Ovis aries: one gene and its partners. The protein of the gene in region 2 interacts with the protein of the main gene of each other region in a pairwise test. Links are inferred from orthologs where the notes say so. Each region holds a gene or a part of one and is shown on either strand. Other genes may lie near its edges. The genes, in order: MAL, EDA, PLN, EMP3 and SEC22A.

The links.
Region 1: the proteins of EDA (region 2) and MAL interact in binary tests that used the Homo sapiens proteins (3 or more experiments, as listed by UniProt). The two-hybrid records come from large-scale screens. The link is inferred for Ovis aries from reciprocal best matches to the Homo sapiens genes EDA and MAL.
Region 3: the proteins of EDA (region 2) and PLN interact in binary tests that used the Homo sapiens proteins (3 or more experiments, as listed by UniProt). The link is inferred for Ovis aries from reciprocal best matches to the Homo sapiens genes EDA and PLN.
Region 4: the proteins of EDA (region 2) and EMP3 interact in binary tests that used the Homo sapiens proteins (3 or more experiments, as listed by UniProt). The two-hybrid records come from large-scale screens. The link is inferred for Ovis aries from reciprocal best matches to the Homo sapiens genes EDA and EMP3.
Region 5: the proteins of EDA (region 2) and SEC22A interact in binary tests that used the Homo sapiens proteins (3 or more experiments, as listed by UniProt). The two-hybrid records come from large-scale screens. The link is inferred for Ovis aries from reciprocal best matches to the Homo sapiens genes EDA and SEC22A.

The regions. Positions count from the first base shown.
Region 1 is NC_056056.1:104,621,304-104,627,572, reverse strand, and holds the start of MAL (myelin and lymphocyte protein), read left to right. Parts: upstream 1-2,126; 5' UTR 2,127-2,216; coding exon 2,217-2,309; intron 2,310-6,269. UniProt on the Homo sapiens protein: May be involved in vesicular trafficking from the Golgi apparatus to the cell membrane. Plays a role in the maintenance of the myelin sheath, and in axon-glia and glia-glia interactions.
Region 2 is NC_056080.1:62,929,809-62,935,396, reverse strand, and holds part of EDA (ectodysplasin-A), read right to left. Parts: intron 5,262-5,588; coding exon 5,227-5,261; intron 4,361-5,226; coding exon 4,309-4,360; intron 1,497-4,308; coding exon 1,366-1,496; intron 1-1,365. UniProt on the Homo sapiens protein: Cytokine which is involved in epithelial-mesenchymal signaling during morphogenesis of ectodermal organs. Functions as a ligand activating the DEATH-domain containing receptors EDAR and EDA2R. May also play a role in cell adhesion.
Region 3 is NC_056061.1:19,648,188-19,652,486, forward strand, and holds part of PLN (cardiac phospholamban), read right to left. Parts: intron 2,051-4,299; 5' UTR 1,963-2,050; coding exon 1,804-1,962; 3' UTR 1-1,803. UniProt on the Homo sapiens protein: Reversibly inhibits the activity of ATP2A2/SERCA2 in cardiac sarcoplasmic reticulum by decreasing the apparent affinity of the ATPase for Ca(2+).
Region 4 is NC_056067.1:54,791,861-54,798,150, reverse strand, and holds the start of EMP3 (epithelial membrane protein 3), read right to left. Parts: upstream 3,673-6,290; 5' UTR 3,527-3,672; intron 3,278-3,526; exon of another isoform or gene 3,222-3,277; intron 2,265-3,221; exon of another isoform or gene 2,191-2,264; 5' UTR 2,176-2,190; coding exon 2,098-2,175; intron 1,882-2,097; coding exon 1,779-1,881; intron 712-1,778; coding exon 571-711; intron 1-570. UniProt on the Homo sapiens protein: Probably involved in cell proliferation and cell-cell interactions.
Region 5 is NC_056054.1:188,413,157-188,419,281, forward strand, and holds the start of SEC22A (vesicle-trafficking protein SEC22a), read left to right. Parts: upstream 1-2,121; 5' UTR 2,122-2,150; intron 2,151-4,113; 5' UTR 4,114-4,203; coding exon 4,204-4,208; intron 4,209-6,125. UniProt on the Homo sapiens protein: May be involved in vesicle transport between the ER and the Golgi complex.

The DNA of each region.
Region 1 (6,269 bases), on a different chromosome or scaffold from region 2:
TTTTCATGTGCCTATTGGCCATTTCCTCTTTGAAAAAATGTATATTCAATTCTTCAACCCATTTTTAAATTGGGTTTTTTTTAATGTTGAGTTATAGGAGCTGTTTAGATAAGTTGGATATTAACTCCTTTTATCATTTGCAAACATTTTTCTCATTCAGTGGTTTGCCTTTTCATTTGTCAATGGTGGCCTTTGCTGGGCAAAAGCTTTCAAGTTTAATTAGGTCCCATTTGTTTATATTTGCTATTATTTCCTTTGCTTTAGGAGACAGATCCCAAAAAGGACTGCTACAATTTCTTTCAAAGAATGTCCTGCCTATGTTTTCCTCTAGGAGTTTTATGGTTTCTTGTCTTACATTTCAGTCTTTGATCCATTTTGAGTTTTGCGTACGGTATAGTAGAATGTGTGTGTATCATTCTTGTATATAAGGCTGTCCAGTTTTCCTAGCACCACTTACTGAAGAGACTTTCTTTTCTCCATTGTATATTCTTGCTCCCTTCATCCTAGATTAATTGACCGTAAGTGCATGGGTTTATTTCTGGGCTCTCTAGTCTGTTCCATTGCCAGTTTTTGTGCCAGCACCGTACTATTTTAATGACTAGCTTTGTAGTATAGTCTGAAGTCAGGATGAGTGATTCCTCCAGCTCTGTTCTTTCTCAAGATTACTTTGGTTATTTAGGGTCTTTTGTGTTTTAGTGCATATTTTAAAATGATTTGCCCTAGTTCTGCAAAAAATGTCATTAGTATTTTGTTAGGGGTTGTATTGAATCTTTAACAATATTAATACTTCCAGTTCATGTTGGCAAGAATGTGAGGAATAGAGAACCCCCGTACACTGTTGGTGGGAATGGATATTGATGATGCAGCCACTTTGAAAAATAGTATGGAGGTTCTCAATATACTAAAATTGGAACTATCATCTGACCCAGCAGTTTCGCACCTGGGTATACGTCCGAGAAAACCAAACCACTCCTCTGAAAAGATACAAGCACCCTGATGTTCACAGCAGCATTATTTTCAATCGCCAAGGTGTAGAGGCAGCCTAAATGTCCATCAACAGGTGAATGGATAAAGAAGCTGTAAGATACACACCTACACACATACACACACAATGGAATACTACTAAATCATAAAAGAGAAAAAAACCTTGCCATTTGCAGCAACGTGGATGGACTTGGAGGGCGTTAGACTAAATGACACGTCAGACAGAGAAAGGCAAATGCTGTGTGATATTCATATATGAGATCTAAAACTATACAACAAACTAGTTAATATAATAAAAAAAAAGAAGCAGACTCATAGATACAGCTTTCGAGTGTGTGGGTTTTATGCAAGGGGCACAGAGGCAGTGGGGACTGTCAGCCGTCACCAGTCAAGAGGCCCAGTTGCCCTCCATGTGGCCCGGGCATGTCCTTCTCCACTCCGAGCCTGGAGGTGGGGTGACACCCGCTGGAAAGGTTCCTGGAGATTAAATGAGGTCACGTGGGCAAAGAGCCGAGGGGGTGCTGGGCACTTAGCAGGCCCTCAGCAGTGCTGGCTCCCTCCACGGTCCAAGATTCAAGGCAGGTGTGATTGCCTAATCCATCGCCCAGCAGTTCCGGCGCCGAGTGGTGCGGAGCCGGGTGGTGCAGAGTTCCAGGCTCCAGGCTCTGAGGGCGCAGGGAGAAGGCATGGGTGACCATACCTGGTCTCAGCAGTCCCTGCAAGGCAGGGAACTAGTCCCACGGTGAACTTGGATGCACATTAACGCGCCCGGCAGGAAGATAAAAGAGCCCCAACTCAAGAACAGTTTGCACCATGCTGACCCAAGAGATGCCACGGTGCCTGCCGGGTTTGGGGAGCCAACTGTTGATGGTGATCACTCTTAAGAAATGCCGATCACCTGCAAAGAGTGTGAAGCGCCTCACCGAGGCTTCCGATGGAAGGTGGCGCCCAGACGTGGCGCTCAGGAGTCAAACCCCAGTCTCAGCCTTGGAGTGTTTCAGGGCTGTGCCCATGACGCTGGGCAGGGCCCTTGGGGCGCGCCCCCACGGTTTCGGGCGGGGACCGGGCGGCGGCGGCCGGGACTCCTCCCTCTTCGGCCAGGGCGCCCCTGCTCTTAACCCGCGCGCGGGGGCGCCCGGGCCACTGGGCTCCGCGGAGCAACAGAGCGGCCAGCGCAGAGTCGGAGCAGCGCTCGTCCCGTCCGGTTCCGAGGCCGTCGCCAGCCCGCCAGCATGGCCCCCTCAGCGGCGTCGGGCGTCAGCAGCCTGCCGAGCGGTTTCGCTGTCTTCACCACCTTCCCGGACCTGCTCTTCATTTTTGAATTTGTGAGTGTCTGGCGCGCCTGGCGCCGGCGCGGGCGCCGGGAAAAGCAGGTCGGGATGGGTCGTGGAGTGCGCTCTCCTCTGCTGCAAGCCGCGAGGGTCCCTGAGCCTCTGGCAGCCGCAGGAGGAAAGGCTCTCCCCAGCCCCCACCCCGCGATGCTTCTTTGGCCCCTTCAAGCCCACGATAAACCGTCTCCGAGATTTGGGTGGAAAAACCAAACTCGCAACACGGATCAAATGTCGGAAGCTGGCCCGGGTCCACTGGGAGCGCACCGGGTCCAAAGCTGCGCTCCCAACCTGCTTCCCATGGGCTTATTGGGATCGGCGTCCTTGTAGAGGCACCCGGCTCTCCCCAGGGTTAGGATTTTGTTTTAAAGTTTAAAAATCAGCAAAAGACACCTGCGTATTACCAAGCGAAGGGTGGAGATGGGGTTAGTGTCATAGGAGGAGCCGAATCTGGGTTATTTGCTCTTGAACGTTTCTGGTGAGTGAAGGAATTGGCCACCACTTTGATCTGGAAATAACACAACAGGCTGTGACTGCTCTGCCAGTCACTGTGCCCATTGTGGAGTGTGGGGGAAGGAAGAGGGGCCTGAAAGCCGGGCCCTGCCTTGGCTGACCTTGAGCATCCAAGGGCTTCTGCACCTGCTGTTGGCCCCTCCTTACACTGGAGCCCCAACCGGAGGCTGTGGGAAAGCGCTTCCTCCTCGGGGCTCCCGGGAAGTGCTCTCTGCCGCGAGGCTTCAGACCACCCTCAGCCTAAGCTCCCCAGGGTGCCAGGCCCTCACCTGGCAAGGGACGGGCTGTACTTCTTTCCTGAGTGTGGTTCCATGAGCCAGAAGACTCCTGTCCCTGCGCCCCCACCGCAGTAGTGGCTGCCTGGAGCGTCAGCCGGTAAAGGAAACATCCAACCTGTTTAAAAACGGGACCTCAGCTTCTTACCTCCTGCTCGGCTGGGGAAGGCATGAACAGCAAACCCAGCAGGTTCTGTTACCCATGGAGGGTAGAGGGGGAGCACCCGCGGGGAGAGGGCTGAAGGGGTCGAGGTTGCCTTGTGGCGCCGTATCACTGAGCTTGAGCCCAAACCTGCGTGTATACAGAGCAACTTTAAATCCTGGGGCTAGCCAGCATCCAGGAGGGGAAGTCTAGAAGAAGCTCTAGACACCTGTAATCTCAGCCACACCATTTGTAGGTGGCGACACCCAGTCCCAAAGTGGAAGGGGTTTGCATTCACTGGAAAATTCCGTCCCCAAATGGCTCGTCTCTGTGCTTCTACTCAGCACTTAGCCTGAAAATGAGCGTGTATAGTAAGCAATAGGTTGTTCCTTCAGAGGCTACTGTATTTACGCGACAGAATTTGTTGATTGTAAGTGATGAAGGCTAAAGGTGAGGTGTGTGATGGGGCAGAAAGATTTTTAAGCCACAGAAGGACTTGCTAGTATCTCTTGAGTTGCTCTAATGAATTGTTTACTCTGCCTTTGTAGCTGTTTGGGAAGCATTATAACAAGAAGCATAAGAAAATGCATTGAGAATTCCTTGGTGGTCCAGTGGTTAAGAATACACCCTTCTACTGCCAGGGGCCAGGGTTCAATCCCTGATCCAGGAACTAAGATGCCACAAGCCATACAGCATGGGTAAATAAATAAATTTTTTAAAAATGTGTTCACTGGGCTTCATACAAAAGACTCTGGGACACCTTCCTCCTCTTGCCCTGACTTGAATAGGTGTGTGAGCATGCAGTATTCATAATAGTCAACCAGTGGGAACAGCCCAAATGTCCCATCAACAGGTGAACAGATAAACGCATAGTGATATTCCATGCAGTGGAATATTACTCGACTGTAGCAAAGAATGAAGTGCTGGTACAGGGTGATAAACCTGAAAACACGATGCTAAGTAAAATGGCCAGATGCAAAAGGTCACGTAGTATTTGGTTCTACTTATAGGACATGTCCAGCATGGGTAGATCTCTAGAGACAGAGCGCAAATTGGTGGTTTGCCAGGGGCTGAGAGGAGAGAGAAATGGGGAGCAGCTTAATGGGTATGGAGTCTCCTTTGGGGGTGATGAAAACGTTCTGAAGTTAGATCGAGGTGGTGAGTGCCCAGCATCGTGAAGGTATTAAATGCTGCTGAACAGGCCAATTTTAAACGGTTAGTTTTCTGTTGTGCCGACTTCATTTTCACTTTTTAAAAGTTGAAAACTATTTCAAAAATGACAGAGAAGTATACATACTTTAATCGGTGTTCATGTAACTATCACTCAACTTTGTTATGTCTTAATATTTTTCCTTATTTACTCTCAGTAGTAAGGAAATAGAGCTTTCAGATGACATCTAAACCACCTGGATATTCTGCTATTCTCTTACTCTCTTCCCTTCAGCCTCAGGACCACCACTGGGCTGAACATGTGTTCAGTGTTAGACTTTTACTGCACCCCTAACTATTTATGATCACACCTGTGTGGTTTCATATTTTCCCGCTTTATAGAAAGGATGGTACACATCCTTCTTCAACATGGGTTTCATACAACCTTGTTCTGAGGTTTATACACACTGACACTCTTTATTTGGTCTTTTATTGATGGACATTTGGGCAATTTCCAAATGTGATACAGCAGACGGCACTGCCAAAGAACATTCTTGTGTTTGCTCCTGTACTTTGGGGAATTTCTTTCAAGAACACAAAGAGATTTGACTCACTGGGTCATAGCGATTGCACACCCTCATTTTCCCAAATGTTAGCACACTGATGTCCAAAATGGTTACTCCATCTCATAAGCGGGGTTACCAGGAAGCTGATGGAGCTTAATTAAGCTCTGGACCCCTTCTTGCTCAGGCCCCTTCCAAGACTCTGGCTGACTTCGCATTCCTTTAGAAAGAAGGTCTCCATACTGTATAACCCTCCTGACTCCCACCAGCAGCTTATGAAAGTCCCCATTGTGCTTCATCTTGCCTCACTTGGTAGAGTCAGACTTCGTAATTTTCTGCTAGTCCAATGGGTGTGAAAGGCTTGATTATTTTTTAAATCTGTGGTCAAGCAAGTTGTTGATTACTCACAGTCCATATTCTCATGCTTGACCTCCCAATAGCCTGGGAGGTGCTGCAGTAAAACTTTCCGCCTCCAGGTCTGCAGGGTGGAGCTCTGCTGAGCTCTCCCAAACCAGGAAACTGCCCAGGAGCAGGGAAGGGTGGTAGCTTGGGTGGAGCAAGGCAGCTCTTCCCTAGGCCTGCACCCCTACCCTTGGGCTCCTGCCCTCTGAAGGCTGTGGCAGACCCTGTCTCCATAAGCACCCCAGAGCCACAAGGCCCTGCTGCTGCAGCAGGCAGCGGGTCACAGGTGTACACCCCTCTCCAGGCGCAGGTGGAATGTCAAATGTCCCCCTCCCTCAACAGCTCCCAGGGCTGTGCTCTGGCCTGTTCCCCCTCACCCACCCGAGAGAATTTTTCCTTTTGGAGCCAAGACTCTGGTTTCCCTTCCCCCGCCCCGCCACCGCTCTCGCCTAAGCCAGGGGCTTCATGATACTGGGACATGTTCAGAAAACAGGATGTTAACATAGAATGCTTTTGTCTCAAGCCCCAGCCAGGGTCCCCAAAGGAAACTTCTTTCACAAAATGTTGAGAGGGACACCTCCCTTTCAGAACTTTCGGAGGGGTTGCCTGAGAACAGGTTATGTAATAATCTTTAACCCAACTCCTTCCTCCGCAGCCTGCTGGAGGCAGCACCGCTGACAGCATGGCCGGACGTTGAGAGAGAACATTTGTTTGGAGAGTGTGCTGGGGGTGCCACCCACATCTCAAGCACGCTGCTGCCCCCCACCCCCGCCTGCACACCTCAGGAGCCCGAGGGCTCAGAGAAGGTCAAGTGATGAGGGGCAAAGCCTGTAGTGTGCAGTTTTAGGGGGTGAAGGTGGGGAACCACCTGGAATCATTGGCCGTGTCGACGCTTACAGTGAACTGAACATGT
Region 2 (5,588 bases):
GTTCTTTCTGCTTATAGCCCCCCTCCCCTGCTGCTGAATTTCTCACTGATCCTCCCAGTGCCCCTTGGTCCTCTCGTCTACTGATAGAAGAACAGGTCCAGAGAGACGGAGAGAGATCCGTCACATAAGAGATAAAGAACGTGGACGGGCAAAACTAACTTTACTTGGTGAACAGAAGGAAGTGCTAAGCTGTGTTCAGTAGCATGACATCCAGGGGATTTGCCCAATTTGCATGGGGTCCAAGGCCTGAGCCCACCCCCCATTCTAACCCAGGGCAGGCCCAGATAATTAATTTTTTTCTTCATCACTACCTTATCCATCACACCCTACCCCAAGCTTTGATCCCCACCCCACATCAAATGGCACTTAGGACAAATGTCCCATAGGACATTGGGATCATACCTCTGGGTTTTGGGACACCCATCTGTCACCCTAAATGACTCTAAGAAAGGTTGCTCCCTTCATAGACCGTTTAGAAGGCAGCAGCACATTCAGGTGTTAGGACTGCCAAAAAATACATAAATTCTACTTTTAAAAAATGAATTAAGAAAAATCTTTGGGTCAGGACCCAAGCTGTGTCAGGATGTTTGGTGGGCTCAGCAAATGCTCGAGGACCCACCTTCTCTGACTACTCTCCTGGGAGACCCTTCTGCTGGCTTTGTCGTCTTTCTGTCCATCTGTCTGCTTGCCCCTCACCCCACAGAAGCCCCAGCCTCAAGGCTCATTCACCTCTAGCTCTGAGGAGACACACTATTGGAGACACAACAGGGTGGAAGTGGATGGGCACTGGCCGACCTGGGAAGTGAGCCCTGGGCCCGGACAAGGACACAAACAGAGGGAGAAAAGTGCTGGGACAGAAAAGAAGCAAGAATAACAGAGAAGCAGAAGGTAGAGAAACAAATGGAAGAAAGAGGAAGGAAAGACAGAAATTTTCCTGAGGTGGAGAGAAGGTCCGGAAGAGCACTCTTCATTATAAAGCCAGTGGTGTGGGGAGGGAGGGGTTCTCAGCAACCCTGGAACTGACTTTTAAAAATATACTGAGACAGAGTTCGGTTTTGGCAGTAGAACCAAGCAGCTCAGCAGGGAAGCTAGGGCCTGGGGCCCTGCAGGAGGGGATCAGATGGCAGGGTGTGGGAGGGGCCTCTTTTCAGTTTTCAATCGTATCTGGCTAAGGAAAAAACCCCAAACAGCCCCTTCTGTCTCTCCTCCTTCCTTTCAACTCCCTCCCCGAGTGGGTCTTCCCTCCAACCTCCCCACCCAGGACTTCAGCCATTGGCTGGTCTGGGCTGGCTCCACAGTGCCCCTCTGTGGCATGCAAAGGATCTGCATTCTGGATATAAGAGTTAGGCCTGAGACCGTACTCACTTCTACCTGACTATAGATGAAGTAGGTGCCGTCCACCAGTACCTCCAACTCCCCGCTGCGGGGGTGTAGTTTAAACACCTTGGGGTTCATGGTGATGCGAGACCAGTCATTGAGTACTCCACCTGAAAGATCTCAGTATGAGAGAACGGCAGTCACTCAGTACATGTCAGAATCATCTGGGCAATAGAAACAACAAATTTCAAGCTGTACACAACCCCCACCCCCATTGAGATATAACCCGGATAGCCCAGGAGGCCAAGCTTTAAGAAGAACATCCAGAAGCAGAGAAAGCGGTCTGTTTGTAAACTGGCAGCCAGGCCTACTTCAGGCCCCTGGGGTCTGTATGTCCTTTCTCTTTCCTTTTCTGACTTCTCTGTCTGGAAGGATCTTTAACCAACACCTTCCAACTAGAATTGGGGGTGGTTGGTAAGAAGAGGGTGGGCATGCTGCCCTATTTTCTTTGTTGTTCTGAGACCTGCACAGGCAAAATCCAGACACTGAGGGGCAGGCTAGGTCTTATTATTCCATTTCATCTCACCAGCCATAGCTCCTGAATCCCTATTTCTTCTTGTCCTTAACAGATTCCTTTTAATAGTTCCTCCACACTCATTTCTTTCTGGAAAGTCTCCATGGGCCCCCAGTAAACCACTTGGCCCAAGGATCTGTCTACTCAGAGAACTTTAGGGATCAGGGTTAAGTCAGACTTCATGGCAGCCAGACAAGGAACCTCCAGTAATAAGGCCATGTAGGGCAGAAGGATCTTTATGAGAGTCAGGGATCAGCTGCCATGCAGCCCTAGAACCAGCCAAATGGATGGAGAGGGTGTCAGAGCATGGAGGCACTGCTGCAAAGCATTTCTCATTAATACCCCATTGCGAGTGGAGAGGCCTGTGAGGCAGGAAGAAGGGCTTCCCTTTCCATTCTGTAGCAAAGGGGATGTTCCTTCCCACCCTAAGAGGAGGGAGTTTAGGCTTGGGAGCCTTTCCCCTTCAAAACCATCCATTCTTAGAGATGCAGACATAGAGAACAGATTTGTGGACGTGGGGGTGTGTGTGCAGGGGGGACGGAGGGGGTGGGATAAATGGAGAGAATATACACTGCCATCTAGCCAGTGGGAATCTGCTGTATGACTCAGGGAACTCAAACCAGGGCTCTGGGACAACTTAGAGGGCTGGGACGGGGTGGGAGGTAGGAGAGAGGTTCAAAAGGAGGGGATATATGTACACCTACGGCTGATTCATGCTGATGTATGACAGAGACCAAAACAATATTGTAAAGCAGTTATCCTTCAATTAAAAATAAATTAAAAAATCCATTCTTCATCCAAGAAAACATGTTTTGAAAGTCCATCCTTGGCTAGTCTCGGGAGGTCTGCCTTTCCGAGGTGTGAGGAAAAGGTGCCCATCTTCCCTTGAGGTGATAAGCAGACGGGATAGAGTTCAGAGGAGACGCTCTGGCTCTGTCCCTCACAGACGACCATTCTGCAGGAAATCTTCTACTCTTGACCCCTCACTCTTGATTCTGCTGGAACTAAAGATCAGCATAGACTACTACTGGGGATTGGCCCAGAGGGGTCGGAACTAGTCTTGTTGTATGATGGGAGCAAAATCAGTAGCTTCTGGCATAACACTGAGGCCACCCAAACAAATCTATTTCCTGACTGTCTCACTCTTCCCTGAATAGATGGTGATCATGGCCTACCCAGTGTCCTGGGTCTCAAGGCACTTGGTCCCAGCAGGACAGTTTGGGTTTTGGTGCCATTATGTTCTTACTTATGTTTCTGAGGCAATGAAGTCAGGCATCCAGGTGGCAGTCCGAGAGGTACCCAAGCCCAGTCACTAAGGAAGCAGAGCACAGCCAGTTTAGGACTGACTGGGTTCTTAGAAGCTGCTGTCCCCAGGCAGCAGGTTTCTGACCCTTCATTTACTGCTTTTGTACTCACAGCCCCTCCCTTCTACTCTAAGCTCTGTAAGCATCTGGCATCTTGGCTGGCTTGCTGCTTCCTGAGGCTTCTGGGGGTTCATGCATTTTAGGCTTTGTATACCCTGGGGACTGGACATTATTTCAAAGCACTGTTCTTTAATGAATGTTCATGTCTCTTTGGGAAGAAATGAAGCTAATCACTCAGTAGAGTATACACACACATCACTGAAGTAGCATAGTACAGTGGAAAGAGTCAGAGAGATGTGGTTTTGAATCCCAGCTCCTACTCTTAATGGAAATCTTGGGCCAGTTAATTAACCTTTCTGAGTTTCAGTTTCTGTCTTCGTAGAAAGGAGCTAATGCCTACCTTTGTTGTGAGGATCAAATCAAATCAAAGACAAAACTCTAAAGAACCATACAACCTTAAGGCAGTAGATTTATTATGGTGTTGTCCAATCTCTCTGGCACTCTTGTTTCCCCACCTTTGAAATGCAGGGATTACATTAAATGTAGGATTTCTAACCTCCTTCAATCCACCCCCTTTTTTTGTAGACACTAGCATCTCATACTTCCTACAGAGTCTAACATGCCCCCCACTTCCCTGAGAGAAATGCCCCTCGACCCTAGACCCATCACACAAGAAGATTTGATTTTATGTATTTCTACTTTCTATAATTTGTATTGTGAAAATGTTGATTAAACTATACATATTCCCAATGGTGACTCTGATTCAGCCTCCACTTTCCAAGAATCCTTGGTTTAGACAATGTCTCAAGTCCCTTTCAGCTTCTTGTTTTTTAAATCTGTGCTTCTAACTGCAATTTGTAGTAACCAGTCTGAGGACAAGCAATTACTTGAAACAGCCAGCAGAGGGCAAAATGGAGTAGAGAATGGCCCGTAGTGTCAAGGGTACCTTCGAGGTCTGGGAGGAACTAAGCTGGGTGGTTATTTGAAGGCTGTGGGTAAAGGTGGTGGCAGGAAAAAACTCTTCTTAGGGAGAGAGCCTACTTTGACTCTTACCATTCTTGACTTGAATCGCTGACCCTTGGCCCTGTAGATGCACCACGGCTGGCTGGGAGGATAAGGACAGAGAAAGTAGTCACTGTGAGAAATGGCTGCTTGCTCAGCCACCAGTTGCCACCTTCTAGTCTTCATTTGTATCCCAATTCTGACCCCTCTCCCCTGTCTTGGGATGCGAGTGGCCACATTTCTACTAGAGGGTAATATGATTTTATAGCTCTGCCAAATGTAATGCCTCTGAGCCTCATTTCCCTGTGAAATGGGGATTCTGAGAATCTCTGTCTGGCTTCTCTACAGAGATGTCTGAAGATCAACTGAGGTGACGAATATAAAATACCCTGCAAGCCATCCAGCACCGTGCAGCTGTGTAGATTGATTGCTGTGGCCAAACAGCTGTAGTGAGAGAAGCCGTGATGAGACAAGGCGAGGCAGTGGAAACTGCCAGTAGAGATGGATCAGGAAGCTCAGAGACTAGGGAGGAGCCCTTCAGGCTGTGAAGGCAGAAGGCCAGGCTGGGCTTGACCTGGAACTGGTTGGCTGATTTTCAAGAACATATTCTTAAACTTCTAAGCTGCTGACATCAGGTGGTTGGAATGCCGACAAGGTGTCTGGTGTAGTTGGGGAGGCCCAGGACCAGGTGAATAGACCTCACTGCCAGCTCATGTCAGCTGACTATTGGGCTTGGCTGTGGTGACCCTCTGTCTCCTAGGGAATGGGGAAAAATAGCCACAGCTCAGTTCTCTTGCTAAAAGCAGGCCCTAGGGCAAAGTTTTTCTATTCATGGGAGGGGGCTGTGAATGAAAAGCCCCCAGAACCTCCAGGGTCTCCTCACAAAAGAAAGCCTCAGCAAACTTAGCAGGGAGCAAACTCAAGGGTGGCCTTCCCTTCTTCCCAGCAAGACAGCAATTCCCAGCCAACCTGGTTTTCTCGAGTTCCAGCTTTATCAGCAGCACCTGCAAAATAGGACAGGCCAGTCAGAGGGCATGCTCTGTCTACTTGCTTCTCTTCATCTAGGCAGCCAATGGCACTGAGCTTTTGCTCCCTGTCTGAGCCAAGCCAGGCTCAGTCTGAGCCTTTTGCCAAGCATCAACTGAGCCTTATTTTCCACAACTCAGAGCTGGAGGGAGTCAGGGTGCGGGGCTCTGGAGTGGGAGATGACACCCCTTTCTTCTCTGACTTGTCCCTGACCTGCATCTTCAATGCGCCCAGCACCCAGCAGGAAACTGGCCCCTCGTCAACAATGGCCCAAGGCAAGTGCCACTGAGCACCCGTGGTGACAG
Region 3 (4,299 bases), on a different chromosome or scaffold from region 2:
GCTAATTACTTATAGAACTTGGTAACTTTTTGCTTGGGTAATTATTGACACCAGTGAAGTGAATGCATTAATTACTTCTTGTTTATAAGCTCTTCTGGTTGATATTAGGGATATCCAATCCATAGATGAGACTTCGCTTAAGCAATCCCTCTCAGTATGAAACCTCTGTTCTCAGGTATCAGTGAAGCAACATTATCCCCCTTTCTATCTCCAGTACCTCTCAGGGATTTTAAAAAAGCAGTAATATTTCTTTCACTATTTTGTTAGTAGCATTTGTGTTACGAGCCATAGTCAAGATTGACTTTTCCAATTTTTTTTTTAACCATATTTTGGCAAATTTTATAGTAAATTACATATTCCTTATCTACTCCTTTAATAATTACTATGTTGGTAGTATGTCTTTAACTGTAGTAAAAACTGTTGAATTATGTAATATAGGTGTAAACTGTTTTAGACTTAATTTTAAACTAAGTCAATGTACCACATTTTGGTGAATATATTTTCCAAACCAGTTTTTGCTTCTGTTTTATGAGTTGTTTGAAGATATTTTTAAATGACCAATTTTTACTTCTATTGTTCTATCAGTAGTTGGAAGATATTTTTAAATGAAGAGAAACTTGAAATGTATTCAGCAAGAAAATCATTGTAGATTAGTATTGCTGGTTAGTGTAGTAGAGTGGCCTACCACTTAGGTGTTTACCACCTGGTTGATAGATTAAGGAAAATAGCTATACCCTATCATGAACAGTAGTGGGATAAAAATTTTACTGTAAAATTTAAGAATTTGTTGATTTTGGAGAAAGAGTTAAATTTTTTTTTTCTAATGCTTGAAGTAATATTTTTTTCTTATTTTGCTTGCCTACAATGAGTGTGAGATTAAAATAGAAGACAACCTGTAAAATCATTCTAATCTTAAAATTTTATGATTCCAGTGGCAAGTTATGTGCTCTGACTCAGGTAATTAGCTATAGTGCTTTAAATGAAGATTAGGTTCTATTCTGTTAGTGTGTTAGTAATTATGGCTAATCATACTGTCAGATGTTAAATTAACCAACAGTTCTTGTCTATTGATCATAAAGTCCTGGTGAGAACAGATTTATGGTTTACCTGCACATATTAAAATTCTGTAATTCTTTGAGAAAATTAGTTGTTTTATCTGTCTAAGGGTATGGTCTTGCTTGATTTTACTCAATTCTTATAAACTTAAAATGTTAGGGTATTATAGAAAAAGTATAATTTCTGTTTTAGAGTGTAGGGTCTGATAGAGTTACTATGGAGACTTCTGTATGATGATAAACAAGGGCTATTTCAAATGATATTTCATTTGAATGATTATTTTGGTATACTTGGTGAGGACCTGAAAAATACTCAATAAATCATCCAAGAGGCTTTTACAGTACAATATAAATTATATTTATCCCAAAGAGTGAAGCTGATGCTTTATATATGAAGTGAGCTTATTAGCAGTGCAGTTTCAAAACTAAACTCCTAGTTCATCCTTAGGAAAGATTTGGGATAGAAGCTTAAGGTCTGTTTAGAAAATTAACAGTTACATTATGCACACTTACATTATAGTCACTTTAAAGTTAATTTTTGAAAATAAAGCCCTTCTTATGTTTACAACATCCAGCAGATGAATACGTTTGCTAACAATTTGCTCTGTTCCAAATCTCGACCTTTTCACAAAGAAATTCTTCTATTTAGGAAGTGGTCTCTTATATAGTATTGTTTCCCCTTCTTCATGGGATGACAGATTTTAAGCTGATGGCGGTAAGTGGCAGCGCTGGAGGTTGCAGCAGAACTTCAGAGAAGCATCACTATGATGCAGATCAGCAGGAGACATATTAAGATGAGACAGAAATTGATAAATAGGTTCTGGAGGTTTTGACGTGCTTGTTGAGGCATTTCAATGGTGGAAGCTCTTCTTATAGCAGAGCGAGTGAGGTACTGGACTTTATCCATGGTACCAGGAAGGCAGGGAGCCTGGAGTTTCAAACGCTCAAGAGAAAGGTAAAAAGCTGCCAGCCAAGTGCGTCTTCTTTTAGGTAGCCTGGAATGTAAAAGTAGTAAATGGTTTAGGATCGTAGGTGTAACCTATCCCCTGAACAGGTAAAACACTGTTTTGTGTTCATCCCTCTTCCTCAACCTAATTTGTATTTACGACATCAAATACCTCTAGTCTGTATTGCTCAGGCTCTGTCTTTTTTGGTGATGGTACCATGATATCTTATATTTGGGGTATAGTAACTTCAGTCTTGTCCTCTTTCTCTCAAAATGACTGGAAGTATAATTTGGTTAGGATGCAGCTTGTCTTGGGCTATTCCCTTGGGCCAAAGTTCTTACGTGTTATTTCATTAAGACTGTTTTCTCTGTGAGCACAGTTGTTCTGAGCATCAGTGTATAAATAGCTCCAGAGCAAACTTTATAAAAAGAAGATGCATCAATAAGTTATTCTACAGATGTTGACTTCACTCCAAAATAAAATAGTTCAATGAGAAGTGTTTTACCAGAACTGTAGATTGAAATGTTTCTCATTTGTTTTGATGATTTTATAGCTTTGTAAAATATACTACTTCAAGTAGCATTTTAACAGGATGATATTAAGTACTAAAGATTGCCAGACTCAAATGGCATAGTAATAAAATCATCATTGTCTCACTGTCTACCACACATAGTTGCCATTTGCAAAGGGCCTATACTTAAGAACAGTGTTTGCATTTGCTTTCTTTCAGAGCTCCCACAGGCTGTTCTGCCTAATTAATTAATTATTTGCTGCCTGATCAATTACCTGTGCTGATTAATAAAACAAAACTTAAAACAGTACATCATTGTAGAAAATTAGGTATATTCAGTAGATTAAAAATTAGTTGTAAGTTAAGTGCCCAGAGGTAATAGTTTGGCAATATTTGTTGTCAATCAGGATACTTCTATGTAAATTTTGAAATAAGAAAAATTAGAAATGAAAATTTAAAAATAGTCATAATTAACTGCCAGAGATAATAACTGTTAACATATCTTGACATCTCTGCCGATCAAGATATTACTGCCTTAGCCCAGCTGCCTGGTTTCATTTTCTCCCTAGTGGCTGTACATCTCATGAAGACCCATCTCAGTCTTTAGCTGTATTTTGCAAGAGAGACTGGTAAAGACAGCAGATCTTTAGGCCTGATCTTGAGATTAGGTTAGAACTCATTTACTATTGCAAAGACACCACATGATATACAGTGTTTGGTTGGATTCTGTATAGTTTCAGCACTTCAGCTTGGCTCTATTGGCTGAAGACCCTGCGGTTTTCATAGTACTAGCCTGTAGTGAGGAGATCCAAATAAAGAAATAAAGGCTTTTTCTTTTTTCTTTAAGAAAAAAGTTCTTTAAATTGTTTCAGCTTATATTTGCTTATTATAGATGTAGTGGGTTTCTACTGGTGGGTAATTGTGGAGAAGATTATTACTTTTTTATGTAAACTTGACTAGTCTCTTTACATAACAGAGTATAACCTAGAAGACTGTAAAGAATCAGCATTGGTAGTTCCTGTCTGAACTTAATTTTTATGAAGTTTTAGGACTTAAATGGCGCACAAGCCCTGAATTTTAAAGTTATTGTGAGATATAACATGGAAAAGGAAGAGCAAGCCAGTTCATCATGAAGTCACTCCCCTCCCCCAACACTGGGGAGCGGTACTTTAGTCACATGAAACGTGTCACCTTTCCATAAATACTTCATTCCCTTTTATGATTGTCTTTTGCACATGTTTTTCTGGCCCTGCCTGGAATGTCTCCCCTCCCCCTGCCTCTACCTTTGATTCTTTGCCAGGCAAACTTCAGTTAATCCTTAAGGTCCAGTTTAAATATCACTTCCTAATGAAACCTTCCATTACTCATTAAGGCAGAATTGGTTATCACCTCCGTTGGGTTTTAGTAGGGCTCTAGTGCTGCCTGTATCAAGATGTGGCTAGCAGGCTGTGCTATAATGTTGATTTGCGTGCCTGTTCCCCCTGCTAGACTTCCTGTTCACGAGTATAAAAATTCCCGGGCTTACTTTGTATTCTAGTGCTTAAGTGCAAAATGAGTACCATTTGAATAAATCAGTGAAGCTAAACAGTGAATTATTTATTATGATTTACTTTAATGTTTTTAGAAAATTATTAATGATCAAAGATAGTGCTTTGATTAGCAGGTGAACCATTTAGGTCATAGAATTTGATAAACCTAATCTCCAGTATTCTTCTCAAGTCTCTTTACAGATGAGGAAAGTGAGGCTTAGAATATTTACTTTAGAAATTAAAACTTAAACTATTGT
Region 4 (6,290 bases), on a different chromosome or scaffold from region 2:
GCCTGGAAAAATCCCATGGATGGAGGAGCCTGGTAGGCTAAAGTCCATGCGGTCGCTAAGAGTCGGACACGACTGAGCGACTTCACTTTCACGCATTGGAGAAAGAAGTGGCAACCCACTCCAGTGTTCTTGCCTGGAGAATCCCAGGGACGGGGGAGCCTGGGCTGCCGTCTATGGGGTCGCACAGAGTCAGCCATGACTGAAGTGACTTAGCAGCAGCCGTAGCAGCCTGGTGTTATTAATTAGCTACCTATCCCTGCTAGCCTCCCTCTGTTCCTGGGATCTAGATTATCCGTCCACAACCCCTTCCCCAGCCCTGGCTCCTTGAAGCTCTAAGTGCCAGTTGCCCCATGACTCAGAGACCCACACCACAAACCACCACTGAGACACTGAAAACTACAAGTTCCTTAAGTCCCTGGGGCAGAGAGGTAGCCAAAGGCAGAACCTCAGGTGGTCTTTGTGTTGTTGAGAATTGTTTTCTTTCACTAGGTGTCCATTCTTCCCCCCACCCTCCCCCCATCCTCACAGGCCTCCTCCCTTCCTTTCAGTTCCCTGGGGAACCGTGCTCACTGGTGCAAAGCTGGCAGAAGCCAGTGGCATAGAATAGCCCTCCTCGCCGCATGGTGTAGAGCTGGAACATGAACAGGATGAAGGACAGACAGCAGAGGATGAGCGAAAGCACCATGAGGACTTGTACTGCCTTCAGCCAGCCTGCAATAAGGAGATAGAGGAGGAAGTTACAGCAGGTCCAGGGTTCCAGCTCCGCCTGCTTGCTCGTCATTGCTCCCACCAACCGTTCTTTCATTTAGAGTCGTTCAACCTCATATACTCAGTAGTTATCACTTATATCAACTTTGATCCCTGTAACTTTCCTAAATCCCCTTAGGAATTCTAGAAGCCATTTGCAGATTCTTTAGGATTTTGTATATAAACATGCTCACTGGGAATTGAGACAGTTTTACTTCTTCGTTTCCCATGTTTTATACCTTTTATTTCTTTTTCCTGCCTTATTGCATTGGCTACCTCCAGTATGACATGGTATCGAATTGTAAGAGCAGAAATTCTTCCTTTGCTCTTACAGAAAAAGCATTTAATCTTCCACCTTCTTTGACTTAGAAATTTTAGCGGATGCAGCTCTGCCCCTTTAGAACTCAGATGCATCTGACCCCATTTATTTTGAACCTTGCAAGGATTCAGTCTCACCTCTTTAGAATCTCAACGTGGTCCACCCCACTGGAACTTGAATAGCATGGGCCCAGCCATCCATTCAGAACACCTGTCTTGCCTCTTTAGGACTTTGGGAACATGATCTTGTCTTCTCAGAATCTTGGAAGCTTTCCCCCCATTCCTTAAACCTATAGCATGTGGCCTCTACTCCTAAATCATCGGGAGTTGGGTTTTTAACCTCAGCAGGCAAATAATCTGCCTGCAGTGCAGGAGACCTGGGTTCAATCCCTGGGTTGGGAAGATCCCCTGGAGAAGGGAAAGGCTACCCACTCCAGTATTATGGCCTGGAGAATTCCACGGACTATATAGTCCATGGGGTTGCAAAGAGTCAGACACGACTGAGCGACTTTCACTTCACTCTAGAACACGGGCATACTTCCCCCTACCGTTCAGAAAGGTGGGTCATCATACGTCAGCCTCAGTCACTCAGCATGGGGACCCATAACCCGCCCACTCAAACCTTGGGGGGTTCCCAATCCTTGGTCCCAGGAGGAGACTTGGGGTTATCCCTCCCTTCTGCAGACCCATCTCCAGTGCCCCTCAGGCCTCACCATTCTCACTGACGATACTGCAGTCCCATGTTTTGTTGTTACTGTTCCATTCGCAGTCATTCCAGAGATTCAGGGACTCCTTGCCGGGGAGAGTCCACCAGGACTGGGATGGGTAGAGGAACAAGGGCAAAGTCAGGGAGGTTAGGCAGGGTTGGGGAAAGGGCAAGGTGCCATGGGAAAGCATGGATTTAATAGGAAAGTGTAGGTTGGGGGCTCATCAGGGGAAAGGGTAGGGTGAAGGCAGAGCTCATGACGGAGTGCTAGGGCGAAGGGGCAGGGCCAGAGGGACAGGAGGCCCCTGTCCTCCAAGTTGGCTTACCTTGTCCAAAGTGGCCACGAAAAGCAGAATGAGAATGAGGATGTGGAGGGCAGAGACCACCAGCAGGAGGAGTGACATGGCTGTGTTGGAAGCCTGGGGTGGGATGTAGGGAGATGACGGTCACTTCAAGAGGTTGTTGGCACAGGGGCAGGTGAGATGCCTGAATCCTGGTGAGGAAAGGGGCTGAGTCCAGACTCCCAAGTCTAATGGAAATGGGGGCTAGGAGCCCCAAACTTCTGGTCTGAGGGAGGAGGAGGCTGGGAGCTAGATGCCTGGTTGTGAAGGAGGAGGGAGCTGGTGGCCCGGACTCATGAATTTCCCAGGGCCTGGAGGGGGCCAGTGATAGACTTGGGTCCAGGAATGAGTAGGACTAGCAATCTGGCTCCCATCTCTGCAGAGCCCTGTCCCTGGGGACATATGGGCAAGGATGTGAAAAATTCCTATTGCTGCCTGTTCAGATATATCAGAAGCTGGGGGCTGCCCCCAGAGATGGACAATCTTGACTCACCCCACTCCTCTCTTGGGGTGGAGGGAGGAAGGGGGACCCGGTGAGTCATCTGGTCGGTGACTCATCTCACCCTCCTGCCGCATGCCTCCAAGCACCAGGGAAACCCCAGCCCCTGTCTATGCCCACGAGGTCCCCACCCCACCCTGCCCTGCCGCCAGACTAGTGTCCACTGGACACATTGTAGGGAAAATGGACAAGATCCATGCTGGGGGTGGGAGAGGGCCTGAAAAGAAGGAGCCAGCCCTCATGACCCTTCAGTGTCCAGAAAGGGCGGCAGGGGAGTGGTGGCGGGTGGGGGCTGGAGTGTCTCCAGACTTCGGTTGTTCTCATGAGAAGCCCTGACCTCAGGGTCTTCCGGGGGGAGTGGACAGCCATAGAGTAAAACCGCAGGAAGTTTTTGGGTGGTGGGGGTTCTGCTGGGAACCCTAAAATCTGTCGGGCCCCACCTCTTTCCAAGCCTCCACCCCAAGTGCCAAGAGTTCACTTCTTAAATTACAAGGATTTCCAAGCTTCACCCAATCTGGCAAGGGGGTGAGGGTGGGGGTCTCCTTTCCAAACTGCTGCACACCCAAGTAAAGAAAGAAATCACAGGCTGAATAACGGATTGAAAACTTACCGAGAGCGGCAGAAGTCAGATTTGAGTCCGGTCCCTTGATCGGGCCTCCGTGCCCCGCCCTTCTCTTCCCTCCTTCCACCCTCTCCAGGCCCCCGCCTCTCACCGCCTTTCTCCCTCCCTCCCTTTCTGGCTCTCTCTCTCTTTCTTCCCTCCAATTCCGGAACCCTTTCTTTCCCTCTCTCTCTCTTTCTTGCCTTCTGCCTCTTGTCTCTCTCTCCTGTCCTCACCGTCTGTACCTCGATTCTCCTCCCTCTCTCCTCATTCTCCTGGTTTCTCTTTCTCTGGCCTTCTCAATATATACTGACCCTTTTATACCCACCGCGCCCAGCTGAGGTCGGCAGCCAGAGGGAGGGACCAGTCACTCGCGTTCCTCCTTTTCTGGGCCCCCACCCACTGCCCCAACAGGCATCTTCTGGGGCTCCCCGTCCTGCGGTGGAGATGACACGTCCTTGGAGGAAAGGAAACAGAGCTGGGGCCCTTAGGTGGGGCAGGCATATCGGGTGGGAGGATCTGATTCTCAGGCCTCTGCTCCTGGACTTGTCCCGGGAATCGACATCTGCTTTCCCTGATGGGGCTTAGGACTGGATCCTCAGGGGGATGGGTGTCTGGGCGGGGAGACCAGATTCCTGCCAAGGGGAGTGGGCTGAGGACTTGTGGGGTTGGCACCCTGGTGGGAATTGGGATGGGAAATGGGGAAGTGTGGAACTCCGGAAGGGGGCAGGAGGTGGAAGTTAAGAACCCAGGGCTACCGTTTCCTGCCTAGGGGACCTTGACCAATTATTCCAACTCTCTGAACCTCAGTTTCCTAATCGAGAGTTGGGCACAGTACTACTTATACTGCTGACTATATACTAACGGCAACGATAACAATTCTGATACTTACTCTAAACAAACAAGGCGATACCACTGCACTAACACCCCTAACACATTTTTTCTTTTCCTCATCAAACATTTATTGAACATCTATTATGGACCAGGAGTTAATAATGAAGAAAACAGACGCGAGCCCTGCTGTTCTTATGGAGTTTACCTTCTAGTTGAGCAAGAGAGAGAATGACGCATCAGTACAGTAGCTAGACTTCAGGTGGTGGTAGGGCTTTGAAGGAAATGAAATACAGTGACACTGCTGATGATGGGAGGCAACTTTAAAAGGGTGATCCGGCAAGGTTTTTCTAAGGAGAAACCTCATTCTGAGATGAGACTTGAAGACAAGAGTTATTTGAATGCTGGAGGGAGAGGAAGGACACAGGATTGGAGAACAAGCTCAAGTTGTTTGGGGAGCAGACAGAAGAGCCAGTGTGGCCGGAATATAGGGAACTAGAGGGAGTGGTAGGAAGGGAATTCAAAGAGAGCCCTTGAAGCCTAGGGGAGGAGTTTGGATTTTATTCTAAGGGTGGTGGGAAACCATTGGCGGTTTTAAACAGAAGTGCAGTACCAGGGACTTAATGTTATGAATAACTATTATTGTTATCATTATTATTTATTTTTAGATTATTGAATAAGTGTGGGGAGTGATTACCACTATGTACCTGGGTCTCTATGGAGGGTTGGGTGCTTGGTGAAAAGCAAGGGACAGGGAGCCAGGTGTCTGGGGTCCTGATGTGGAATTAAGAGCTGGAGGACTGAAATCTTGGTCCCCACAGGGGAAAGGAACTGGATGATGGGATGGCTGGGTATCTGAGGGAGCCACAGGGAGAGGGAGGGAGAGTGGTTGGTTATCTGGGCTCCCTGAGGGGGTGAGGGAGGGGCAGTTCAGTGACTGGGTGGTACTCCTAACCCTAACCTGGAAGCTGTTACCACTATGACATAGGCTTTATTCATTATCTGTGATTTGGGGCAGGTTATTAATCTCTCTATGCCTCAGTGTCTTCATCGGTAAAATAGGAATAATAATAGTAAATACCTCAAGGAGCAATGCTTAGAGGAGTGCCTGGCATAGAGAAAGCACTGTTGTACATGCATGTTACATGACACACTGGGACATGGGAGATGAGGTGTCTGGGATTTGGAGAAGGGACAAATGCTTGGGTCCATTGGGTCCCAAGTCTAAAAATTTGGGAGTACAAAATGAAGGTCGCTGGGGGTGGGTAAAGTAGTTACATCTTTGAGAAGGACAGAGACTGGGGGTCTGAACTCAGTTCTCCAAGTAAATTAGGAAGCCTGGGTCACCGGGGGAAAAATGAGGGACTAGAGATCGTTATGTTCTTCAAGGAGGCAAAGGGGCTGGACCTGAGTCCTGGGAGGAGTCTGGGAACCAGGGGCTATAGAGATGGAATTTGAGCGGGGGAGGTGGAGAACAGGAAGCTAGGACTCTGAATCAAACTCCTAGAGTGGAATTAGCGCCAGGTTGGGGTACCCTGGAGATGTTCCGGGCAGGGGGTCCCCCATGCTAGGGCCCTACAGAAGGGGGAGAATTAGGGTAGCGGAGGGCGGTGGTGGAATCTTCCCCTCCTGGGCCTCCAAAGCCACGAGCTGAGCGCCCGCGGGCCTCTTCCTCCCACAGGAAACCGCAGGCGTTGGGCACACCCAGCCTGCAAGGAGCGGCGCCCACAGACAGCAGGCTCTGCGAAGGCCCACGTGGGCAGCAGGCGGCAGTCAAAGGGGGGGGCGTGCCCTGCGGAGCTCGGGGGCGTGCCCGGGAGGGCGTGACCGGAAAGCAGGGGCGGTGCGGAGCGCCCTAGGCCCCGCCCACTTCCGCCTCGCAGAGCGCGGACAGCTCCGGCAGCTGAAGGTTTTGGCAGTCTCTCCTGAGGCCGTTGGCCGCGCATGCGTAGTGAGCGGCTTCGAGGACTTGAGGCAGTGGTAAGCGCTCCTCTCCCTCACAACTCCCGGCATCGGTACCGCCTGCCTGCCAATGAAGCCTCAAAATAACGTGGTCTTAATCAGCTTAATACACGCATCTCTCGCGCCCCATCCTGAAGGACTTCGGCCCAGTTCCAAACCCTTCCGGACGTTCCCCTCCCAGCCCTGCCTCCACAAGCTCTTTCAGCTACTGCCTCTCCCTCTTGGAAACACACAGCCTACCCCTCACAACCCCGTGCTCCTCACACAGATCATCTCGGCGGTTAC
Region 5 (6,125 bases), on a different chromosome or scaffold from region 2:
GAAAGTTAGTTTGGTTTGGTACCAGTCACTTATTTATGGCTGAATCACCATAACACTTTAAAAATATAAAATTTCTATTGAATAATAAGATGCATACTAAAAATTACGTATCTTAAGTGTGCAATTTGACAAATTTTCTTTTCTTTTTTTGCCACCTCCATGTAGCATGCAGGATCTTAGTTCCTTGATCAGGGTTTGAACCTGTGCCCCCTGCAGTAGAAGCAGGGAGAGTTCCCACTGGATTGCCATGGAATTCCCAACCTTATGAGTTTTCATTAATCAAACACACTAGTGTAATTAACATCCAGATCAAACATTACTAGAACCCCAGAAGCCCCTAGGGGCCCTTTCTAAACCTTAATGCCACCTAAGGGTAACCAACAGTCTTCTATTACCATATATTATTTTTGTCTCTGTTTGAATGTTATATAAGTAGAATCAAGTAGTATACAGTCTCTGTGTCTGGCTTTTATCAGTCAGTTTTACAGTTGTGAGATTCATCCATGTTTTGTATGTAGTTGTTGATTGTTCATTCTCTTTCCTGTATACTGTTCTACTATGTGAATATTCTAAAGTTTATTTATCCTATGAGAATTCTTATATATGTGGTATATTCTTATATATGTTTATGGTAAACAAATGAATACATTTCTGTTCCACATATATCTAGGAGTGGAATTGCTTGGTTAACCCACTCCAACAACCAGCAAATTTATATAATTAGTCCAGACATTGCTTCTGGACTTCAGACTTACATCTCCAAATCTGTTTGACATCTCCATATACAAGCATGTCCAGCTTAATATGTCCAAGACCGTTTGCTCCTCCTTCTAGGTTCCCTGAGTCAGTAAATGGGTTCTTAATTCATCTAGTAAGTCATGGAGGCATTCTTAATGCTCTGCTTTTCTTTATCATCCTAGGCAAACCAATTCTTTATTACATCCTTTGGATTCCACCTCTAATTTATAAATAAGTATTTCAAAATTACCCAAATCTTTCTGTCTCTAGTGTCATTACCCTAGCTCAAGCCACCGTCATCTCTGGCCTTGACTAATGCAACTGCCTCCAAACAGGACTTCCAATAAGCCCTTCTCTCCTCTTTCAAACTATTCCCCACAAATAGCCTAAGTGAGAGTTTATTAATAAATATGTAAATCTGACCCTACTTAACACTCTATTAGCTGCCCATTGACCTTAAGATACATTCCAAAATACAGTCTAAAATTTATAATGTGGCCAGGAGGAGCCTGCATAGTCTGGCCTCTGATTCATTTCGACTCCTTTGCTCCTACACCTCAACCCCACTGACTTCCTTTCAGTGACATGTTCCTAGAACACATCAAATTCTTTCATGCCCCAACAATCTCAAACATAACATTCTCTATGCCTGCAACATTCTTAAAGGCTCTTTCATGTGCCTGGAGCTTCAAAGGCACTTCTTCAAAGAACTCTTTCCCCATAGTCCTTATTAATCTATCGTTGCACTCACTAATTTTTCTTCATAGAATTGATCACAATTTATAATTACGTAATGTTTATGCTTTAACATCTCTTGCTCCTATCACACATTAGATCCACCGAAAGTTATATTCACTCCTATAACCCAATGCCTAACCCTGGGCTTGGCACATAGTATGCAGTCAGTAAGCACTTGTTTAATAATGCATGACCGATGCAAAAGCTAGGATGGACTGCAGGAACAGCATTTGGCATTTCTTTGTCAAGGTAGGATGCCTTCCCCGGCGTGGTAATAATGGGACAGGTCCTTTTCTTGTTCACTCAGAGTGGGGCTTTCATGCTCCTTCTATAAGTGTTTCCTGCAGGGCCGCATAAGAAACAAACTACCTGCAGGTACAGGCGGCAGACCGGAGATCAGCCTTATTTGCGAGGGACAGTATAATCAGTCAATCCAGGACTTGCCACTCTCTTGGCGTAGAAGCGTGAAAAGCTGTCAATCTCCTCCGGAGCGGGCGGGTAAGTGTGTCCTTCCCCCAGAACCTGATTGGCCTGAGCATGGAACGGGGGCGGGGCTTGATCCCGCTGGGTGCCAGCCACGTTGCACGCGAGGCTGCCCCGCCGAGAGGCCACTCCCCGGCCCCACAGTGCACTGCGAAGCGCGTCACTCGGAGCGGCGGGTCTCGGCTCGACAGGTACGGCCCGGCCCCTCCCAGTCCTTCGTCCCTTCTTGGGGTCGCCCGAACCCTGATCTGCTGCTCGCCTCTCTCTCCCTTTCTCCTGCCACGGTCCTGACTCTCGCCGTTGGGACTACAGACCTACCTACCCCGGGCGGGAACTAAGTTCGTGGCGTGGGAGCGGGAGTCTTCGGAGTCGTGGAGCTTTGGAGGGGTGGGATTGCTGGGACTTCGTTCCCTTCAACTTGAGGGATCACTGGGGCCGCGCGAACGGCGGTTGCCCTTCGGCTGACCTGCCGGGATATCGGGCAGCTTGGGCAGGGGGCCGAGGAGGGGGGGACAGTCGCTCTGAGGTGCCAGCGGTTAAGCGGCATTCCCTGGCGCCCAGGTGTCAGAAACACGGTGGCCCTCCTAGGCTGTTTAGGTGGCCCAGAGAGCTTGACACGGCACTTCCTATTTTCTTTTAGGCAGGGTTACTTAGTTTTTTTGTGAGGTAGTTCAACCTCAATGCTAATTCAAGCATTGAACCCAGAGATTTGCCCGCGTTGGCTCACAGAAACCGAAGGTCCTGTTAATGGCACTTAGGAAACGATGTGGCATAAGGGAGACCTAAGCAATTGGCTCGACAGGTAGCTGAGGGTTCCGGAATAGGAGGCCGAGCCTCAGCTGCCTTTAATCTCTCTGACAGTGAAAACAGCAGCTTTGCTCCGCCCCGTTTAGTTTCCTGGGTCATCCACCTGGGGCAGTGGGAAAGCTTGAGAATCAGTTCCTTCTATGCTTTGCTTCAGCCAAGGCAAAGCCTAGGGGTGAGGTGTCAGCCACCAGGAGGGAGATGATGGGATCTCAGCTAACAGGTGGAACAGCCACTTAAAACTTTCTGAGTCCCTTTGCAGGTTACTGGCGTTTGTTCAAGTGCTAAGATAATGGTTTCCCTGGTGGCTCAGATGGTAAAGAACCTGCCTGCAATGTGGGAGACCTGGGTTTGATCCCTGGGTCAGGAAGATCCCCTGGAGAAGGGAATGGCAACCCACTCCAGTATTCTTGCCTGGAGAATTTCATAGGCAGAAGAGCCTGGCAGGCTACAGTCCATGGAGTTGCAAAGAGTCAGACAGGACTGAGGGACCAAGCACACAACACAACCCTAATTTAAGGGGCATCTGGGCATTGCCTATACTGAGAACCGTAATTAGTTTAGTGTTTGTGTGTGTGTGTATGTGTATAAAGTGATTATAAAGTGGTAGTCGTGTCTGAGTCTTTGTGATCCCACGGATTGTAGCCCACCAGACTCTTCTGTCCGTAGGATTCTCCAGGCAAGAATACTGGAGTGGGTTGCCATTTCCTCCTTCAGGGGATCTTCCCCACCCAAGGATCAAACTTGGGTCTCCTGCATTGCAGACAGATTATTTACCATCTGAGGCACCAGGAAAGCCCGTGTGTACATAATTGATTCTTAAAAATCTTCAGTGTATTTTATACTGGTGTATTAATGGAGCCTGCAGTTCAGTTCAGCCGCTTAGACGTGTCCAGCTCTTTGCGACTCCATGGACTGCAGTGCACAGGCTTCCCTGTCCACCAACTCCCAGAGCTTGCTCAAACTCATGTCCATTGAGTCAGTGATGCCATCCAACCATCTCATCTTCTGTTGTCCCTTTCTCCTCCCGCCTACAATCTTTCCCAGCATCAGGCTCTTTTCCAATGAGTCTAGGTCTTAACAAACAGGCACTTTCGACCTTCCTGTCCATGCAGTTGAGTTGCTGCTGCTGCTAAGTCGCTTCAGTCATGTCCGACCCTGTGTGACCCCACAGACGGCAGCTCACCAGGCTCCCCCGTCCCTGGGATTCTCCAGGCAAGAACACTGGAGTGGGTTGTCATTTCCTTCTCCAATGTAGTTGAGTAAGAAGCTTAAATATGTTGATAGGCAACATTTCAGAGTGTGGTTAGAATTATGCTTGAGTTTAATTCTGTCACTTGCTCATTTCAGGATTGAATAGATTACTTTTCTGGGCTTGAATTTCCTCAGAGATAAAATGGAATGGATAATAACTACCTCACAGGGTATTGGAAGGCTTAAATGAGGTAATGTGTATAAAGTGGTAAATAGAGGACAGTCAATAATAACAAAAGCTTAATATTGCACTTTCCGTCTGCAAGGTGATGTTTCAGGTTCTTTACATGTTATTATGTGGTAGATACTATTAGTATCTTTAAACAGTCCTATGAGATGGGTGCTATTGGTAGTCAAAATTGACAGATGAGGGTATTGAGCATAAAAAGACAGTTTGCCCAAGTTTACACAATTACTAAACGGTAGAGCCAGTTTTTGAATCCAGGCAATTTGGTTTCATAGTACACCCTGTTAACTATAATACTTACTGTATAGTATATAAGCTGTTTTTAAAAATTGTTATTTCAGAATGAATAGCTAATTCCTGTATCACTGGCTTCTTGCCCCTTGTTGATTATAGGAGGAGCACAGTGATGTAGAGATATACAAGAGACTTAGATTTAAGCACTGCCATATATTAGCAGTGTGACACTGAGGAAAGTTTCCTCATCCGTAAAATGAAGGTTATACCTCCCTCACTCTTCGTTAACTGTGAGGTGTTACACAAATTACTGATGCAATTGAGTATGTGTTGAAGGCCTTCTTCCTAGATGTGTGAATGATCTACTCTGGAGCCAGAGTTCTTATGCATACTATGCAGTACAAGTACCTATAATAAAAATACCAAAGGCTGTTGATAAGATGCGGGGCACAGGTAAAGTTGCAAAATAAACTCTGGTTGTTTTTAGTACCCTTTTCACCTCTTTTCAGGCTCTATCTCCCAAGTACCTTCCTGCTAACCTATGGCTGCATGAAATCCTTCTCGTTTCACTCAATCTTCCCCCAGTCCAGTGCATCACAATTAGTATAGCCTTCTCCAAAGCTACACCCCAGTTCCCAGATCTCAGCTAGTACTTTTTAAAAAATTAATTAATTTATTTTAATTGGAAGCTAATTACTTTACAATATTTTAGTGGTTTTTGCCAGACATCAACATGAATCAGCCACGGGTGCACATGTGTTCCCCATCCAGAACCCCCCTCCCACCTCCTTCCCCATCCCATCCCCTAGGGTCATCCCAGTGCACCAGCCCTGAGCACCCTCTCTCATGCATTGAACCTGGACCAGTGATCCGCTTCACATATGATAATATACACATTTCAATGCTACCCTCTCAAATCATCCCACCCTCGCCTTCTCCCACAGAGTCCAAAAGACTGTTCTCTTTTGCTGTGTTCATCTGGGTCTCTTTTGCTGTCTCACATATAGGGTCATCGTTACCATCTTTCTAAATTCCATATATATGCAATAGTATACTATATTGGTGATTTTCTTTCTGACTTACTTCACTCTGTATGATACGCTCTAGTTGCATCCACCTCATTAGAACTGATTCAAATGTATTCTTTTTAATGGCTGAATAATACTCCATTGTGTATATGTACCACAGCTTTCTTATCTGTTTGTCTGATGATGGACATCTAGGTTGCTTCCACGTCCTGGCTATTGTAAACAGTGCTGCAATGAACATTGGGGTACACGTGTCTCTTTCAATTCTGGTTTCCTTGGTGTGTATGCCCAGCAGTGGGATTACTTGGTCGTATGGCAGTTCTGTTTCCAGTTTTTAAAGGAATCTCCACACTGTTCTCCATAGTGGCTGTACTAGTTTGCATTCCCACCAACAGTGTAAGAGGGTTCCCTTTTCTTCTTACCCTCTCCAGCATTTGTTGCTTGTAGACTTTTGGATAGTAGCCATTCTGACTGGTGTGAGATGGTACCTCATTGTGGTTTTGATTTGCACTTTTCTGATAATGAGTGATATTGAGCATCTTTTCATGTATTTGTTAGCCATCTGTATGTCTTCTTTGGAGAAATGTCTGTTTAGTTTTTTGGCCCATTTTTTGATTGGGTCATTTATTTTTCTGGAATTGAGCTGCAGGAGCTGCTTG